Caenorhabditis elegans: one gene and its partners. The protein of the gene in region 1 purifies or fractionates together with the protein of each later gene. This does not show direct contact. Each region holds a gene or a part of one and is shown on either strand. Other genes may lie near its edges.

The links.
Region 2: the proteins of rpn-2 (region 1) and F35G12.12 fractionate together in Caenorhabditis elegans (co-fractionation; one large-scale study listed by BioGRID). This does not show direct contact.
Region 3: the proteins of rpn-2 (region 1) and rpn-7 fractionate together in Caenorhabditis elegans (co-fractionation; one large-scale study listed by BioGRID). This does not show direct contact.
Region 4: the proteins of rpn-2 (region 1) and ecps-1 fractionate together in Caenorhabditis elegans (co-fractionation; one large-scale study listed by BioGRID). This does not show direct contact.

The regions. Positions count from the first base shown.
Region 1 is NC_003281.10:6,197,452-6,203,115, forward strand, and holds rpn-2 (26S proteasome non-ATPase regulatory subunit 1), read left to right. Parts: upstream 1-1,728; 5' UTR 1,729-1,734; coding exon 1,735-1,789; intron 1,790-1,839; coding exon 1,840-2,367; intron 2,368-2,413; coding exon 2,414-2,544; intron 2,545-2,594; coding exon 2,595-3,815; intron 3,816-3,867; coding exon 3,868-4,017; intron 4,018-4,064; coding exon 4,065-4,591; coding exon of another isoform or gene 4,592-4,595; exon of another isoform or gene 4,596-4,689; coding exon 4,690-4,975; 3' UTR 4,976-5,143; downstream 5,144-5,664. Other genes in the region: C23G10.7 (putative tRNA (uracil-O(2)-)-methyltransferase), read right to left, coding at 1-74, 125-287, 331-547, 596-824, 870-956; sna-3 (NADAR domain-containing protein), read right to left, coding at 5,309-5,503, 5,577-5,664. UniProt on the Caenorhabditis elegans protein: Acts as a regulatory subunit of the 26 proteasome which is involved in the ATP-dependent degradation of ubiquitinated proteins.
Region 2 is NC_003281.10:4,580,139-4,584,395, forward strand, and holds F35G12.12 (26S proteasome non-ATPase regulatory subunit 5), read left to right. Parts: upstream 1-1,656; coding exon 1,657-1,692; intron 1,693-1,739; coding exon 1,740-1,840; intron 1,841-1,886; coding exon 1,887-1,995; intron 1,996-2,077; coding exon 2,078-2,359; intron 2,360-2,407; coding exon 2,408-2,599; intron 2,600-2,644; coding exon 2,645-2,702; intron 2,703-2,752; coding exon 2,753-2,953; intron 2,954-3,004; coding exon 3,005-3,115; intron 3,116-3,162; coding exon 3,163-3,337; intron 3,338-3,391; coding exon 3,392-3,602; 3' UTR 3,603-3,755; downstream 3,756-4,257. Other genes in the region: wdr-48 (WD repeat-containing protein 48 homolog), read left to right, coding at 27-199, 245-351, 402-500, 554-647, 702-849, 901-1,092, 1,142-1,427.
Region 3 is NC_003282.8:9,314,816-9,319,155, forward strand, and holds rpn-7 (26S proteasome non-ATPase regulatory subunit 6), read left to right. Parts: upstream 1-1,823; 5' UTR 1,824-1,827; coding exon 1,828-1,890; intron 1,891-1,935; coding exon 1,936-2,778; intron 2,779-2,828; coding exon 2,829-3,155; 3' UTR 3,156-3,415; coding exon of another isoform or gene 3,416-3,544; 3' UTR 3,545-3,589; coding exon of another isoform or gene 3,590-3,715; 3' UTR 3,716-3,761; downstream 3,762-4,340. Other genes in the region: F49C12.9 (UBA domain-containing protein), read right to left, coding at 155-394, 502-939, 987-1,087, 1,154-1,292; nemt-1 (Methyltransferase type 11 domain-containing protein), read right to left, coding at 3,416-3,544, 3,590-3,715, 3,762-3,880, 3,924-4,042, 4,088-4,217, 4,267-4,340. UniProt on the Caenorhabditis elegans protein: Acts as a regulatory subunit of the 26S proteasome which is involved in the ATP-dependent degradation of ubiquitinated proteins.
Region 4 is NC_003281.10:10,457,531-10,462,485, forward strand, and holds the start of ecps-1 (Proteasome component Ecm29 N-terminal domain-containing protein), read right to left. Parts: upstream 3,022-4,955; 5' UTR 3,021-3,021; coding exon 2,948-3,020; intron 2,900-2,947; coding exon 2,778-2,899; intron 2,720-2,777; coding exon 2,609-2,719; intron 2,555-2,608; coding exon 2,430-2,554; intron 2,384-2,429; coding exon 2,240-2,383; intron 2,104-2,239; coding exon 1,876-2,103; intron 1,603-1,875; coding exon 1,461-1,602; intron 1,409-1,460; coding exon 1,316-1,408; intron 1,270-1,315; coding exon 994-1,269; intron 599-993; coding exon 176-598; intron 126-175; coding exon 1-125. Other genes in the region: atx-2 (Sm domain-containing protein), read left to right, coding at 3,859-4,194, 4,243-4,534, 4,658-4,919.

The DNA of each region.
Region 1 (5,664 bases):
ACAAGAAGACCATTTCCGCATCCAATATCCACGAATTTATTCGGCTTTGGTAGGAGATCAGAATTGACAAGCTCCTAAAAATATTTTGAAAGATGGGAATTTTATTGAAATAGATAAATTTTACATTTATATATGAAGCAATCCCACAATCCTCGAAAATTGATTTTTGTGGATTAGAGTTTTCTGTCCATCCTTTGATCATTCCTCTGCCATAATCCTCTCGAATATGACGATATGTCTTGATGTAGGACTCTTTGTCGAGTAGAGAATTTGTCTTTCGAGATGATCTGCAATAAACGTTTAGACTTTGTTAAATCATAGCGTTCTCACTTTGAAAGATCAATTCCTTTCAACCAAGTGTACAATTGTTTGAATGCTTGTTTCTTCATAAATTCAAAATGTTCTTGAGAGGAATTAGCTTGCTTCAAAAACTGAAGTTGAATGGATGTATCTGTTGGGATTTTAATGGCAATTGAATACGGGCTCTCGAAATGTGGGTGTTGCATTCCATCGAGAGTAATTGGGTAGAATCGTACAAGGAGTTCTTCTGAAAACAAAAACATCATTTCAAAAGAAGACTAACTTCGAAACAAACCTTCATAGTAAGAAACTTCAAACGCATTATCTGAGAATTTATTATTAGCGAGATCCTTGTGTATGATTTTCGTAATAGCTATTTCGCTGCAATCTCTCGGGCAAAATTTGTAATGTGTTTCAAATGTTCTTAAAACTTCATTCCATAAATCTGAATCTGTATCCACTGAAACTGAAGTTGTAATTCTGTTACTGATAGCGTTTGGATATTCCTTCCAAAGACTGATAATCTGAATTTTTCTTTCAATTACAATATTCCAAATTACAATAACTACCTTATCAAAAAACGCTTTTGGATCAATAACCTCTTCGTATTCGGCGATTTGTTCTACAATAACTGTCCATGTTGAACCAGGAAACATAAAACGCCTAAAAACGTAAAATTTTAATTGAATATATTGGTAAACTAGTTTTTCAAAGGAAAAAGAAAATTATTCAATAAACTTTTATTGATTAGTTCGGCCGAAAATATCCAACACGCAGAAAGGTAAGCTTTTCGAAGATATAGAAAGTTCTAGAAAATTCGGAAATGTTCCTCTGAAAACTACAAAAACTAAGTCAGACTGAAACCAATGTCATAACTATGTGCAATGAGCCTTTAATACAGTAACCACCGCATAGCTTTGAGACGATCAGTGAAAAATTAAGCATTAGAGCGGTCAAACTAGACACCAATACACTTTTATCTGATTTTAAAAATTAAAATATGCTATTTTTATCGGAATTGCTGGGAAAAATATTGTCTAAAAATAAGAAAACAACTTTGAAGAAAATGCGCCAACACCCATGTGCTGGCGCAATTATCGATTAGTTGACGCACATCGCGGAGGATGACAATTCTGACCACAGCGGGAAACCGCGAAATTGTCAGCTTTTATCTGAAAATGTATGTGTTTTTGGACGAAATTTGTCATTCGCAATCATTCTTTTCGTTCGGTTCATCCATTGTTGGTGTTTGAGTAATTTTATGATTTTCTAAAACGCCTGATTTATTTTTAGACGTTTTCTAATTTGTCTTTTAAGACGAGAAAGCTGTTTTTCTGATAACCTAGAAAAACATTTTATAATAAACTATGCTTCGCAACTATCTTCTCCTAGCTGCTCTCATTTCGGATTGTTTTTAATTTTGATTTCTTTCAGATGTTGACATTGTTGAACAGATGGAGATCTCAGCCAGGAGGCGCTTCAAACGCAGGTATCAAAACTAATATCTATCAAGAAACGTTGTGAATTGTTCATTTTCAGCCGCATTCATTCGTGTTCTCGAGTCACCGAAATCAGCAGTGACCGACAAAGTGCTCGTTCTCAAAGCATTTAACGATTGGGATGTTCTTGTGAACACATGGTTTGAGGTCGCTGACGCCCTTCCAGCTGTAGAGCAGCTCCTTGACAACAACACGTTCCCAGAGCATTCATCCGCTGCACTGCTCGTCTCCAAAGTTTATTTCTGCTTGGAGCAGTATGAACGTGCTTTGGAGTTTGCTCTTCGTGGTGATTTCAACGTCGTTCCTGCTACAAGAACCGGTCTTGGAAACGACGCAGAATATGTTAACAAGATCATCGAGACGGCCATTGACACGTACAAGACGCTGAGCAAGCAAGGATCTGGAATTCCTCAGAAACTCCGAGATTTGATCGACCGAATTGTTGCTAGAAATCTGGATAAACGAGAGATATGGTTTGTCATCTCGTTAGGATTTGAGACGACCAATCTGGCTATGATCGACAGGGCCATTAGCGCGATGCCTGCAGATTTGACCATCAAGAATCAGAGTAAGTCAATAATAACTAAGCTGAAACGTCATTCTTTTTTGTGCAGCTACACTTGTCGAAACGCTCAACCGTGTTGTCAATGGCGCGTTCGATCGTTCATTCCGATTCCAAGTTATCGATACAGTCATCAAGACGTACTTGAAGTGCCCATCGCCGGACATGTCCAAGATTTGCGAGGTATGATTTATACAAATATCGAAGTAAAATTACAAAATAAACATTTTCAGTGTTACGTGCTCACGGATAACGCCGAGGCCGCTGCTGACACGATTACGAGTTTGATCGCGAAGTCTCTCAGCACTCGTGCATATCAGATCGCATTTGATTTATATGAAACAGCGAGTCAAGGATTCCTCGATCGAGTTTTGAAACGTTTCCAACAGCAGGATGCTCGTGATGAGAAGTCGATGGAAAAGATTCATTCAATTCTCAAAGGTCATGAAACTGTCAAGGCTTACCTCGACTTCTTTGTCCGTCATAATCACACTGATTCTGTTCTAATGGAAGAGATCAAGGAGAACATTCGAACAGCCTCTGCCCACAATGCTCTTCTCATCTCAAATGGTCTTATGCAATATGGAACTACTTGTGACGATTTCCTCCGTAACAACTTGAACTGGGTTTCCAAAGCTACGAACTGGAACAAGTTCAATGCGGTCGCTTCACTTGGACTCATTCATCACGGACAAGAATCGTCTGCAATGAAGGTACTTGAGCCATATTTGCCAAAGGAATCTGTCGAAGGATTTGGATTTAAAGAGGGAGGAGCAATGCTGGCATATGGATTGATTCACGCCAAACACGGAGATGCAACTGCCATGAGCACTCTGGCTCAGTGGCTCAAAACCGCCGAAAACGAGCCAGTGAGACACGGAGCTTGTCTTGGATTTGGAGTTGCTGGACTTGGATCGTCTTCTGTTTCGAATTACGAGAAAGTTCGGGAAGTTCTCCAACGTGATGAAGCAGTTTCCGGAGAATCCGCAGGAATCGCCATGGGCCTTATCATGGCTGGACATCTGAATCAAGAGGTGTTCAATGAGCTCAAGCAATACACTGTTGACACACAGCATGACAAAACTCAACGTGGTATCCGAACTGGACTTGCCTGTGCCGCATTCGGACTCCAAGGAGATGCTGAGCCTTACATCAAAGAAGCAATCGGAGCTAAGAGCAATCCAATGCTCCGTTCCACTGGAATCTGTATGCTGTCGATGGCTTACGCCGGAACCGGATCTCCAGATGTAGTACGCCGTCTTCTCGAGAAAGTAGCCACCGATCCAAATTTGGATGTCAAGAGATACGCTACAATTGGTATCGGATTCGTTCTCTCCAAGGATCCATCAACCTGCTTATCCTACGTGGCCATGCTCACCGAACATTTCAATGGACATGTCAGATACGGAGCAGCTATGGCACTGGGAATTGCTTGTGCTGGAACAGGAAACATGGTAAGATACTTTTTTCTGAAACCGGGGTTTGATATAATGAATTGTTTTTCAGGAAGCTATTGCTCTGATTGAGCCAATGATTTCTGATAAGGAAGGTTTCGTTCGTAAAGGAGCACTTCTTTCACTTGCTCTCATCATGTGCCAGCAGACAGACTACACTTGTCCCAAGGTGAACGGTTTCCGTAAGCAATTGCTCAAAAAGGTAACTCTATAAGAAAACAATCAAGTTTTTCAATAAATGTTTGTCAGATCGGAGAGAAGAACGAGGACTCTCTTGTCAAATTTGGAGCAATTATTGCTCAAGGACTTCTCGACATCGGAGGGCAGAACGCTGCGGTCACAATGCAAAATTCTGACAAGCAGCCAGATATGGGATCAATGGTCGGAATGATGTGCTTCCTTCACGGATGGTTCTGGCACTCGATGCATTTCTTCATCGCCCTTGCTGCTAAGCCATCATGCCTTGTGATGATGAACGAGAATCTGAAGATTCCAGTACTTGACTACATCTGCCATGCCAATAGTCAGAAGTTTGCCTATCCACCACGAGCCGAATCAAAGAAGGATAAGGATGTCAAAAAGATTGAGACTGTTGTTCTGTCCATCACCGGAAAGAAGAATGCGTCAAAGAAGCTGATCGCTGAGGAGAAAAAAAGACGAGAAGCTGCAGCTTCCGCTTCTAGTGCTGCTGCTGCCCCATCATCATCGTCCACTTCAGGAACAGCACCAGCTGCTGAAGATGAGAAAATGGAGGTTGATCAACCAGGAAAATCCAAGTAAGTTTGGAATGAGTGTCTAGGAAAAGTAGAATTCGTTTTTTTTGTCATAAAAATTAAAAAACCAAGATTTCCAAATTAACTTACAATTATTTCAGGAAAGAAAAGGCTCCAGAAAAGGACACGAAGCCATTGCACCGCCTACAGAATCCAGCTCGTGTGATTCCTGCTCAACGACAGCTAATCTCGATCAGTGACGCTCGAGCCTACAGTCCCATGAAGCCACTTTACAAGGGTGGAATTATTGTGGCGGATCGTGTTGATAAGGAGAGAGAGGAGAAGCTTGTCAGTGAAGTCGTCACTCAGGTCAATACTCCTGCGAGCTCTGGAAATACCGAAAACAAACCCCATTCGACGTTCGAGATCAATATCAACGATTTTTGATCAATTGCTGGATCATTCGATCAACTCTATCTCGCTCCCCCAATCCCATTCAAAACTTTTTTAATTTATTTTCCCCCTTCTACTCTATTTATGTTTGACTTCGAATCAACATGAACCCGCTGATTTTTGTATTTGTGTGTATACCTGAAAATGAAGAACATTTCACTTACATGAATTGAAGTCAAGCGATAATGACAAAAAATTTATTTTTGTTAAACAAGAGATCCTTTCTGGCCTCAAAATCTTGCTGTGTTATTCAAATGAAACAGCAACAAAAATGAATGAATAAATTCTGAAAATTTTAATAACGAAAACGTGAAGTAAAAAATTAATTTAATTATCCTCCTCGTCAGTTGATAGAATCTCGCCGTCTGATAACTCCTCTTCGGGATCTCGCTTTGGCTTCGGAGGAACAACGACCGCTGGTGTTGACGTGGATATGGCTGGCTTTTTAGCAGGCGATGGAGCTGCTTTCCGCGATGGAGGAGACTGGTTTACACGTTTTTTGGTGGGAGTGTCGAGGTGTTTCTGTAAATTTTGATTTTGAAAACATGTAATCGGGAAATTTTAAGCTAAAACAATATAAATAATAAAAACCAACATCTCTTCCTCTATCAGAAGACGACTTCTCTGGCAAACGATCCCTATCTTTTCCAAATTTCCTTCTAGATGTCGTTGGTATTTTATAC
Region 2 (4,257 bases), 1.6 Mb from region 1:
TAAAAAAATAAACTTTCAGTTTTCAGCTGGTCCATCCGCCCATCAGCCCAACTTTCGATTGGAGGAGACGAAGATGGTCCTTCAACTTCAAATGCAAATCACTCAGTATCAGCTTCATCATCACCTCCAGTAACATTCAAGTATATCCGAGTGAAGGATCAAAAAGGACAACAGAGCACACCAGAGCTCGTTATTCCTGGTAAACAGACTATATGCAGATATAATTTTTAATCTGTTTATTCAGGCGCTCCTGCCATCAAGAAACATGCCATGTTGAGCGACAAACGACACGTTTTGACACGAGACTCGGATGGAAATGTGGCGCTATATGATGTTTTAGCAGCAAGAAAGGTTTGTCCCCATTATTAAAAGTTACTACTTGAATTTTGATAAAATTTCAGATAAAAGATTATGGAAAGCGAATATTTGAAGAAGTTGTCGATGAGAACTCTAGGCAAGTATACATTCCAAGCTGGTTTGTCGTTGATTCAAAAAGTGGAGTGAGTTTTAAGTTTTATAAATTTTTGAAAAATAAAACCCTATTCGATTTCAGATGCTCCAAATCACTTTGGACGAGCTGGACGCTCTCTCCTCGTGGCTTTCATCAAAAGACGCAGGTTTTGATGATAATGATCGAGAGACAAAACGTAAGATATTATACGAAAATAAAAACTTTCTCATTCCTTTGTAAGAAATTATAGTGAATTACGGTGGAATGATGCTACGATCACTCTTCGAACGATGGCCACCTTGTAAAATGACAAATGTTGATGCAGCTGATGCAGATGATGTGCAAAAAGCAACACTGAATTTTATTTCTCTACCGGAACACACACCGCTTATTATTTGGTAAAATTATTTGAAGGCTCAAATTTTAAACATTAAAAAAACTAATTTCAGCGAAGGAAATGGTCGTCCGCTCTACCGTCTTCTTGTTGGCGACGCTGGGAAGGAGTTCGAAGCAAATGAGCTGGCACAAATTGCACCCATGTGGGTTATAGACGCAATCGAACGAAATCAGCTGCCGAAATTCAATAAAATGCCATTTTATCTTCTTCCACATCCGTCGACAAATCCCAAACAGCCTAAAAAGTTTGTGAAAACGCGGGGTTCATTCATTAAAATTTTGAACTATTTTCAGAGATCGTCTGTCAGCAACTGAAATGCTTCAAGTTAAGAAAGTGATGGAGCATGTTTACGAAAAAATACTCAGCACTAATGATGGTAAGGTATTTAGAAATAAGAAGATATTAATGGTGTTTGAAGATATTACAGTTGGCTCGATTCCACTAAATCAAATTCATACAAAAATGGAAATGTACTGCAATGATCAGAGGTTGGAGCCGGATATGGATTTGCGAACAGTCAAGCATCTCTATTGGAAGCAAAGTGGAGAGCTTCTTCTACATTATAAACCAGTTAAATAGCTTTAACATTTAATTTAAGTTATTTATTTGAACATACTTATCTAACATTTGTACTTTATTGAAAATTCACTGTCTAACTTCTTTTTTGATACGGGTAAAACCGACTTTCAATTAAATTCCATGCTCTTTCCATATGTCTTTCTTTCTTTTTTAAAATTATGATGGTTTAACTACCAGCTTATCTTCATTTCTTGCTTAATATTTTTACCTCCTACCGTATTCGTTCCAGATGGCTAGTTTGGAAGAACATGAAAAACTGATCGAAGTAGGTTTTATTGAAATTTCTTCCAATTTTAAGCCAATTTTTTTCAGGAGTGGAGAAACGATTACATCGCAGAACGCAGTTCGAAAAAGGGATGGGAGATTCTGGAAAAACTTGCAAAGATGCAAATTGAAGCGGCTCAGCAAATGGAGTACGTTAAATGAATATCAGATAGTATCAAAATGAAATTATTTCAGAACAGAAGATGACGTGGCCGCTGCTGATTTTGATGACTTCAGCACCAGCAAGCTTGTAAAATTGATTATTGGAGATATTTCAACCAAAGATCTTCTTGTCGATCATCAGGTACCTGACATCAATTTTTAGACTATTCTAATCTAATAAAAAAAAATTCTAATAAAAATTGTAATATCTCAATCTTTTACAGATAATTCTTCTCGAATTCATTCCATCTGCACATCCGAATATTCTTCGCCATGTAGTCCGCACAGTCCGTGAGAAGGAAGGAGCGATTTCCCTTTTGAAGTCATCATCGGTTGCAATTGGAGTTGCATTTGCTCGAAGAGTTACAGATGCTGAAGCTGGAGAGGAAGTTGGACGTCTGATGGCACACCTCGTGGATCACGACTTGATTAATGAAGAGCTCAAATCGCAGCTGAGTGTTGCCAATGGAAGAGAAAGTTCATCCATTAGAAGTCGTATTTACTCCGTAATTATTTGAATTCTTAATTTGATAATTCATTGAAAAATTGTTCAGATTGCTACTGAACGAGCTCGCATTTCATCTAACACTTCATGCATTCATTGGCTCTACGACAAGATTCTTAAAAGTGTTCTAGATACTCAAGATGTTCTTGCTCAACTGGATGCTTTGGACACTTTCGTTGATATTGCACTTAGTGGAAAACAGAATGCAGAGGCTTTGTACGAATTGGGAATCGTCAAAAAGGTTTGAATTTGCAATAAATTTGTTTTTTTAATGTTATTCCTTTAGATTTATGAGTTGATGGAATGGTCGAAGGAGTCTCCAGATGGTGGGGAAATGTATTTATGTAAGTTACCAGTTCATTCAATTAATATTTAACAATATTTTTATCAACAGACGGAACACGTTTCATGTGTTATATGGCTCGTTCCTACCCACAAGTTCTTAAATATTTCCCTGATCTTGCACGGCGTCTCATGCTCGAAATCAGAATGTTCGATCAATTGAGTGTGGTCAGTCGTCTTGGAGCTTTCGATCATTTTGCCAGTATGTGCTTCTCTGTCGAGGCAAAAGAAACTTTGGAGGATATGTTCAAAGGTATTTTCCAAATTTTTCAAAAGCAAGATATTAAAAATCATATTGTTTCAGATTCAAAAGATCTTGAGAATACTTTGGGAGCTGCTGGTGCTGCATGTACGATGGGAACAATGGAATTGAAGTGTCGAACTCTTCAGGCCGTCACTCTCCTTTTCCAGAATAGTGAGCTTATTTAGTTATGTGGAATGTTTGAAAATTAATAATTTCAGCGACTGAAAAAATTGCTGAAACATGGTACGAGCGTCTCGGTGGAAAAGCATTGACACATGTAGCAGTTGGAAATGTTAAGAAGCCGTTCCCTGAGATGAAGAATTGTATTTATGATTTCTGGCAACAGTTGTTCACATATCCATCAGTTGTTCATCAGTTCATCACTTTCCAGGGGTATGTTAACGACATTTTTATGCGAGATTTTTTATTAAAATTGTTTTTTCTCAGATTCATTGACTGGGCATTGGACGATAAATCAGAAGATAATCCAGAATACGAAATTCGCAAACGTCAAATTATTCATCGAATCATTGAATTGTCGGAGAATACAAAGAGCGCCGAAGTACTCAAAGCTGATCCAGAACTGATTGGCCGTCTCAAGAAATATCTGCAACCGGCTGTTGCACCTGCTCCGCGTGTTGAGGAAATGGCTCTTTAGATTGATCTGTATATCCTGAATCTCTTTGACTATTCAATTTTTTGTTTCTTTTTCATCTCAATTATTCCAATACAGTATTTTATTGCCTCAAAAATGACTTGTTCGCCGTTAATTCATGTTCCGGTTTGAAGTTTTAATGAAATTTATTGATGTAATGTTTTTAATATAAGTCTTTACATATACTCTTGTGTTTGAAATCCCATTTACTTCAATCTTTAACGAGTTTTGAAAACTGAAATGATTGTTTCAAAGCTTCAGCGTCAAAAAATGAAATGCTAACAACGTGAAGGTTAAACGAATTTGCTATTTAAGTAAAACACACTATCGTGTTTCTCGCATTTTCGCCGCCAAGAAAATAAAAATTTCATTTCGAATTGATTTAAAACTCATTCAATTTTTGGTCTCGCCGCGATATAAAACGTTAAAATGTAAGTCAAAAATGTATATCTCTTGAGATCGCTTATTGAGTGGACTTATTTATGTTTGAAAGATAGTCTATCTAGATAGACTAACGTTACATTAATTGGACTTTCATGTTATTTGGACTATAATGGTGCGTCCAAAGTGCATAGAAAAACAATAATTTTCTCGTTACCGCTATTGATCAATTTAAAAAAAGAAGGCGTGGCCAACCCAACAATCCGCTGATTGGCTA
Region 3 (4,340 bases), on another chromosome or scaffold:
GATTTCATTTCACTGCTTTATTTTAAACAGATATGAGATTATTTTAGCCCTATTGACGAATGAATAGGGCAATTTGAATGCATTAAAAACGAATTATGAACACTTATAGACAGAAAAAGTTAATGAGAAGACAGAATAAAACCATTGGTGTAGATTAATTTTGGAGATCAATAAGAAACTCCATAGCCGCTTGCACATCTCCATTCGCCTGTTCGAGAGCCAACTGAATGAGCTCATCATTTTCAAATCCAAACTCGCGGAGAGTCGCAGCTTGTTGTTCATATCCTTGCTGCATTGGCTCTTCTTGCTGCTGTTGCGCTGGCTGGACATTGGCGGGAGCTGGAACCCGATTTGCCGGAGGAACTGCAATGTTTGCCAGGGCTGCTTGGAGAGCCTGAAAAAATTGGCATGGAGAATTTAGTAGAAATATGTATTCAACTATTATTATATTTCAATTATTCTTTTCGAATTATGAGAATCAGTGTGTCCAAGAAATCTTACATTTTGAAGCAACGCATGAGTAACCGGTTGAGCACCTCCAATTGGTCGCTGAGCTGCAAGCATTCCTGGTCTATTTCTTTCCACGTTTGCATAATCAAGGTTTTCGTATCCGTAACGAGATCCTACTGTCGATAGAATATTTTCTACTACTTTCAAGAAATCGGGATTCGTGTACATGAATTGTCCCCGAATTGGATCATCTTTGAAATCGTTCTGAACGCAATAGGCACGGAATAATGACCAATCACTCAGAACAGATAAAAATTGATTATCATGAACCAGCTGTGGGTGTTTCTCAAGAAGCGTTGTCATGTGATCTGGAAGTGCAAAGTCGTGGTTGAAACCATGAAGCCGACGATCATTTGGGCGTGTATATGGGGCGGTACACTCCTTGAGAGCAATACTGATTCGATTTTTTTGCTCTTCTTCGATGTGGTTCTGAAAATCTTAAAATTAATTTGGGTTTCAAACGGAAAAAAACTGACATTTGTTTTAAGCGGTGGAAGCAGCACGACTCTGATTGAATCAGCATCAGTAATCTTTTTTAGGCTCTCTTCATTCAATGCTCTTCCGTTATAAATCAAACCTGAAAAGTGATTGATTCGATAATTGAAGAAATAAATATGATCGATAATTGAAGAAATAAACTTACGGAAACGTTCAACGTTTTTTTGGTCTTTGAATTCGGAAGTACTTTCTGATAAATGCTTGAAGAATTGGATCTGTCCAGTAGAAATTATCTCTTCGATCGGGACTTCACGGCAGGTGGTTTTTAAATGCAATTTAACCATGTTTCTCAATACAACGGGATGGCGGTTGAAAACTGAATGCGAAACAAATGCTCCGTTTCCTGCGTTCAAACGCTAATAACGAGAGCGCTCGATAATGAAAGGATGAATAAAACCGTGCGGCGGAATTGCGAAAGCATGCGCCGCGTATTGCAAACCCTTGTCATCATCCCCGCCCACTTTTATTCGTCCCATTTTGAATTTTTCCCCCAGTTTTCTTGAATTTTGATACGGTTTTGTCTGTTTATGCACTATGAAATAGATATTTTAACGTAGTTTTCACTGTGCCGCTCACTGTAATGTAAAATAAGGCACTATTACGAATTTAAAATAGATATCAACGCTTATTTTCAAAAACTAACAAACTAGACACTAAAATTAATACCAAATCTATATTTCGATAATTACAGCAAATTTAATGAAAACTAACTAAAATGCTATTTCACGTTTGAAATACCATTGAACAGTTTTATTTCCGTTTTGGCCGCTTTTTAACGTTTGCTACAATTTCAAGTGTTCATATTTCATTTTAAGGAGGATGACAGAGGCTGCCAAAAAGAGCACGAAGAAACCCGTAGATGATGGAAACTTCGATAAGGAGGTACGGATCAGTAGTTTTGAAATCATTCAAGTTCAGAGTTTTCAGATCATTTCAAGATGGCCTGATCTTGAGTTATCACAAACCAGATTCATGCTCAATCATCCCGAAGTAGACAGCAGCGTGAAAGAAGCCAAGCTCGAGAAGCTTCAGGAAACTATCAAAGAATTCGACATGGCGCCATTCTACGAGCTTGTCTGCGCTGACTTCAAAATTGTCGTAGATGCAACACAATTGGCTGCAATGAAAGCAGCTAATCAGAAAAAGATCGATGAAATCACCGCAGAAGTTGAAGACGCGGAGAAGAACCTTGGCGAATCTGAAGTGCGTCAGGGATTACTCCGCAAGTTCGAGTACTACTGTCAGATCGGTGACAAAGACAACGCTCTGAAAGCGTACACAGCCACCTATGAGAAGACAGTCGGTATGGGATATCGTATTGATGTAGTTTTCGCCATGATTCGTGTTGGACTTTTCTTCCTCGATCATCATCTCATCAACAAGTTTATCACCAAAGCAAAAGAACTTATGGAGCAAGGAGGAGACTGGGAACGCAAAAATCGCCTTCGATCCTACGAAGCGCTTTACCGAATGTCTGTTCGTGATTTTGCTGGAGCCGCTGATTTGTTCCTTGAAGCTGTGCCAACATTCGGATCATACGAGCTCATGACATATGAAAACTTGATTCTCTACACTGTCATCACCACAACCTTTGCTTTGGACAGACCAGACCTTCGTACCAAGGTTATTCGTTGCAATGAAGTTCAAGAACAGCTGACCGGAGGGGGACTCAATGGAACATTGATTCCAGTTCGTGAGTATCTCGAATCATACTATGATTGTCACTACGATCGTTTCTTCATTCAGTTGGCCGCTCTTGAAAGCGAGAGAGTAAGTTACTAAAACAAATCTTGTATTTTTCACTTATCGTTATATTTCAGTTCAAGTTTGATCGCTATCTATCGCCACACTTCAACTATTACTCTCGTGGAATGCGCCATCGCGCTTACGAACAATTTTTGACTCCTTACAAGACTGTACGTATCGATATGATGGCCAAGGATTTTGGTGTTTCCCGTGCTTTCATCGACCGCGAATTGCACCGTCTGATTGCGACTGGGCAATTGCAATGTCGTATTGATGCTGTTAACGGAGTGATTGAAGTGAATCATCGTGACTCGAAGAATCATCTGTACAAGGCAGTTATCAAGGATGGAGATATATTGCTCAACCGCATTCAGAAGCTTGCCAGAGTTATCAATGCATAACCGAGCCCAGTTCTTCAAACGTGTAAATCCTTTTATTTTACCCTATTCTTCTTCTCCCGTATTATTTCTTTGCGTTAACTCGCTTTGAATCTCCCCACTTCTTCATCATTTCCGGTTGAATGAATTAATTTATTACCATCGCTGTATTTTTAAAACTGTATTCACACTTTCTTGGTCAAATACCAATTGTTTTATTATCTTTAAAATGTTTTTACATGTTATTTAATACCACTTCTTCACTTCTTCACTTCTTCATTTCTTTATTTCTTTATCCACATCGCTGCGATGTAGATCCGCTGTTTATTTTTCAATCGTTCATAAGTTGATGTTCCAGGAGCACAGTACGTTGCTCGCAGCGAGTTTTTGAAGAATTTAACGAAGAAAGGAGCCTAAAATATTTATATACAAATTTTTTAACTTTTGGCCTAGTTTACTTTCTCTAGTAGCCTATCATATTTTCTCGCTGAATATTTTAAGCCCTCAACTACTTCATCAGTGCAAAACTCGAAATGTTTCTTTACAAAACCGGCTGCTGTGGCTGTCTCCTGAATCTGTTTTGCCTGTAATCACTAGCTGTATTTATATAAATTTTACAAGTAGACTAACCTCATGGGGATATCGAATGTCCATGTAGCAGAAGGCACCACCCGATCGCAAAACTCGTGAGCCCTCTTTGAAAAATAGTTTGTAGTCCGAGTAAAGATGAGCTGCTTCCACATTCAAAACTTAATTTCAAGATGTTTTTGGTATTTTTTGATATGATCCTACCAAAATCAAACGAATTATCTGCAAACGGTAAATCTAGTGCATCTCCGTAGACTATGTTATTCATATTTCTAGTGACAACTTTATCACAGCCAATGATGCATTTTGTTGGTCCATGCCACCTGTGTTCCATATTTCTCGTTTTAAAAAAAATGCAAGACACTTACTTTTCTATCCAATCGAGAGAGTACCCTTGACCACAGCTCACTTCAAGAATTTCAAATTGTTCAAAATAAGGATAATTTGGATGCATTGATAATGCTTTTTCATAGAGATAAATATGAGCTCGATCCGACTCTGAACATTTAAATTAACAAGGAAACCTCGATTAGTGTTTTCATTTTACCGTATTCATCTAGGTCACCTAGATCTTCCATGAACATTCTCATTTTTGCGTACTGAGGTGCTGATGATGGCCAG
Region 4 (4,955 bases), 4.3 Mb from region 1:
CCGTGAAGCTTCTTCACAACTCTTGGCACCACAGTCATCCAGTGATCGTCACCTTCAACAATTCGAAGTTGCGCCGGATGATCCATCACAATGCTCTCAAACACTGCGTAGAGATAACGCGAGGCCTGAAAGACTTTTAATAAAATTTCTTCTTTTTTTAGGCAATTTTACTCACATTTTGATGAACCAAATTATTATAACTTGGATCAACACGGGCTGCTCCATCCGTCTCACTGCTGCTATTCCTCCGATAATCCTTCTGAAGACTGCTCCAAAGTGAGCCAATAATCACTGAAGTTGGTGGAGCCGGCTTTTGAAGAGATTTCTCCAATTGACGAAGAGCTTCGGTTCGAATTGCATCTCTATCATCACCCGAAGCCTGAATCAACTGCCACCGTAGATCCATATCTTGCTCTCCAATCAGAGCTTCTGCGTATTTCAACGCGGCGAGTCGACAATTCGGGAAATCCGAGCGAATGTGTTCACTGATCACCTCACGGAGTTTTGCTCTCAGCTCCTCTTCTGTAGATTCGAGGAACAGTGGGAGCCAGGTCGTCAGACATGATACAATTGCTCCGGCGATGTCTTCCTGGTACTCCTGAAAATTAAAATACTCAAAATGGCCCAAATAGACCGAATTTCATAACGAGACTTTTCAATAATTTCTCAAATATTGGAAATTGATTTTTGTTAGAACCATGTTCTATTTTGCATATTTTCTCATTTATCTCACGTAATTTCGAAATATTTAAAGCAACTAGGCAACACAATTTTGATACCTATAGGCTTAAACGCCTCGAAATCAACGAAGGACGTGAGATAAATGAGAAAAATATGTGAGATATAACAATAATGCGAATAAAAATCAATTTTCCATGGCTACGACACGGAAAAGTTGTCAAAATTCGAGATTTTAGGATTTAAATTTAAAAAAAAGAGTGAAATTTTCCAGCTTTCTCTTCTAAATTTGACAGAAATCAGCGATTTACTAACAGTGGAAAGATCCTCAAACATCTTGGCAACGACATCACTATCGTTGAGCACAAGTATCGGATGACGACTCCCGAAGATTGCCAGGCAGCGGTAGACTCCACAAATTGTCAATGTGTTCATATTATTGCTGCGAATCAAGTCCCGAAGCCGTTTGAACAATCCCGGAGCCAATGTCTGTAGAGCTTGTGGTCGCATTTTCTCGGCGACGAGCACGTAGAAATTCATCGTGAGCGCCTGAACTCGAGAACTTTTGCTCGCGGAGCCATTCATACAGATCTGAAAAAAAAAACGATTATATGGGAATTTCAGCAATAATAAAAACCTTCAAGTTATTCATGTAGACAGTTGGTGCCAGTCGAGATTTCGACAGAAACGGTAGAACGGCCGCCTGGACAAATTGATTTCCCGCAGAGATCTGGAATTTTTTGGATTTATTTCCTGCTTTTTTGCCTTTCTTTCGGGTAAACCTTTGCTTTGGGATCTTTCGGCGGCGTAGTATCGGCATTTGAGCCAAGAAAGGCGTGCATGAGCTTGTCGATGACTGGTCGGCTCTCAATAAGTCCTTCGGTTGGAATCTTCTTGATCAGACTTTCTGCGAGATCATCTACCCTGAAAAGTGGTAATAAAACTAACTTTAAAGGCGCATGTATTTCAGTTTTTCATGACAGGTCTCGTCACGATCCATACAATTACGCGGTAATATGTGGATCGTGGTGAGCCTGACATTCTTAAAGGCGCATGCTCTTTCCTTAGCGGGTCTTGTCACGATCCTCGTAAATTTGATCGGATACTGTACCCAATAGCTAAGATCGTGGCGGGATCAGTGAGGGTAAATGTGCGTGTGCCTTTAAATTTATGCCGATTTACGTGATGAATCCTTACTCGTTCAATTTCGAAGCGGAAGCCACGACCATCAGCGGAAAAGCAATGTCATCGGTGAGCAACTCCTTTCCCAACACCTTCAGAATCATCACCTTCGTCTCCGTCAAATTCAGCCCCAGCGGGAAGACTTTCCGCCCAATTTGAACAAATTCGTTGATGCTCAGCGCTGGGAGCTCAGGAGCCGACGATGCTGTGGGAAGCTTCTCGACGAGCACTTTGATGTCCTCACTGAAATAAAATATTAGAGTTAAAGCAGGCAAAGTTCGTGAAGATTTCGGCATGAAATATTGTAAAATTAACAAAATGCTAGGCATGTTTCAGATTAAAACCAGGAAATTCGCTTCTGAAAACTGAAATTACGTACATGCTTCGTGCAGAGAACACGAGAATCGCCTGAAAGCATCTGGCAATGATTTCCACGTCGACAGAGCTCATCTCGATCGTCGGCCAGTGTTTTTTCTCGATTCTCGCGAGCTCGTGGAGTCCCGGCAGGCACAACGAGAGAATGCTGGAAAAAATTATATAGAAAATATAAATAGTTCTACTTTACTTACTCGTAAATGTAATTGAGATCATTGGGCTTCTTGCTGAACGATGTCAAGTATACAGGCAGAAACTCTAGCTGCTCGGCGGCCTGGATCCGGTCTTTTGCCATTTTGAGATAGATCAGACTGAAATTCTGGAAAAAATATTAATTTTTTGGGTTATACATCGTCTGGAGAACGCTACAAACCGATGAAATGGCACTCGGGCCTTGGAAAAGTTCGAGCAGACGTGGCACTGGGAGACGGATCGCCAAATTGCTCTTGACGACTTTGTTGAAGTGTGTGAGAAATTCGGTGACCTGGAATCACGAATTTTAGTCATTTTGAATCAAATTTCAGCGAATTTTTGCGTCTTACCAGCTGAATGTGCTCCTGCTTTCTCCCGGCAAACTCCAACACATCGCACAAGTGCCGATCTGTGATAGTTTGTAGCTTGGCGTCCGAGTTGGCGTTGACGAGCCGCAGGAAGACTCTTTCCACTGAAAATTTCAAGTTCATTATGTAAATTAGAAGCTAGACTAGCTTACCATCATTTGCTGAGTCGAGAGACGTCAGCGAAGCTGATTCTCTGGGAGCATCGACTTCCATTGGGCTTTCCATGCTGAAAATACTAAATATTTAGCGTTTTACGAAGAAATTAACGTCGAAAAATGAAGAAATTACACTGAAATTGCTAAAAATTGTTCAAAACAATACGAGAAACTCGGTTTTTCCGCAAAAAGTAAAATGTTCTTGAATTTATTCCAAAATGTCATCAAAAATATTTTTATTTTCAGTCTGCGTCTCTCTTCATCGTGTCAATGGGGCGAACTTGACAAGAGACGTCACAGAACCTTTCTCTACAGAAATTTGAGTCTTGAAAAAAAGACCGAAAAACAGGGGAAATTTTTAAATATTTTTGATGAGCGATAAATTTTAAATTGAGAATTAGTTTTGTTTATTTCAAATTGTATTATCGACAAAGTGTATTGGAAGATAGCGCAGGGAAAGAATTTCTCCGAGTGGGAGTTTCCCCAAAATCTGTGGTGTCAAACAGATAAATATTTCCCAATCGCGAAATTTTGCACGAGAAATGTGGTACCCGGCAAGATAATTTTTTGTCAAATGAAAAAAGTGTGTGCTCCTATGAAGAAATGTCCTATCTTTCTTTTAAGAACAAAATCTGAATTTTGTCAGACCTAATTCAATAAATTGCGGATAAACTTTTTGATTTGGGGAAAATGCTTTTATTCATTGCCCAAAAACTCAACTGTTGAGGCGAAATGTTCATGTTTTACCACTTTCCTTGGAAAAAATCCACTAATTCCCACTATATCGACTTTCCTGAAAACCCCACTGTGTAAAATGCGCGCGGCACACTTGCGAAACCCTGTGCGGCGCACTTGCATAGGGCGGAGTCTCAGGCAATCCCGACGGAAATCGGCGCGTCATTTACCGCATGTGCGTGTCCTCCGCTGTCTGCGTGCTCTCTCGTCTCTCTCTCGAACGTTTTTCAAATTTTTCCGCGAATTTTGTGGATAATTTTCTTCTTGTGGCTCGTTTTGCACGTGGTGAAACCTTGAAAAACGGGATTGTGTTGGAAATTTCAAAAATTTGCCCAAAACTGTTACTCATATTAAACTTCCATTATCGTTGCGAAATTGCTGTTTTTAAAATTCAAATTTTTTCCATTTTCAGGTACATTTCTCCTGTACCCAAACTCTTTGACTGCTCCACAGACAATCTTCTATTTATTTATATTTTATTTGCATCCAAAGTGCGAATGAAAGAAATGGTAAGCGCTGGCAACTTGAAAATTTCTTTAAAAATACAATTTTTCCAGTCAACACCAACGGGTCTTCCTGCGCTAAATGGCGATGTGTTGAGCGCCATCAATGATATGATCGGACGTGTAATTATCATTAATACTACGGACAAAAAGCGATATTCTGGGGTGCTGGGCGCCGTGTCTCAGGATTTCGATTTCGGGATGCAGTGCGTCGTGGAAATTACGAAGGAGAACGAGAATAACTTGCTGAGAACAGAGTCGGAATGCAGAGACAAGATGGTATTTCACTATAGTGATATTGTCGATTTTGCGTACGTTACGCAAGAGATCAAGAAGCAGCATGCTGGTAAGAGCTGTTTCAGGGAACTTTTTCATTAAAAAAAATGCATGACATCTTTAATTTTGGGCCAAGTCGGGTTCACAGTTACGATTTTTAATCCGAAAAAGCTGAAAAACTCTCCATTTTCAGTCAGCAAATTCGTCACCGATAGACAATACCACGGAGATACTCCAATCGAGGGCGAAGAGCTTCAGGAATGGAACGGAGGTGAGGAGGACGGACTCGGAGGATCCATTGAGGACGACGTCGTCGTTGCTGGTGGACAAACCGCCGCTCGTCGCAGCAACAATCACAACAACGGCACCGGATGGTCGGTCAACGACATGTTCGCCGCCAACGAGAAGATGAACGTGGTGTCGACGTTCAAAGAGGATTTAACGCAATACACAACGTAATTTATTTGAATTTTTTCGCTTGAAAAATCCAG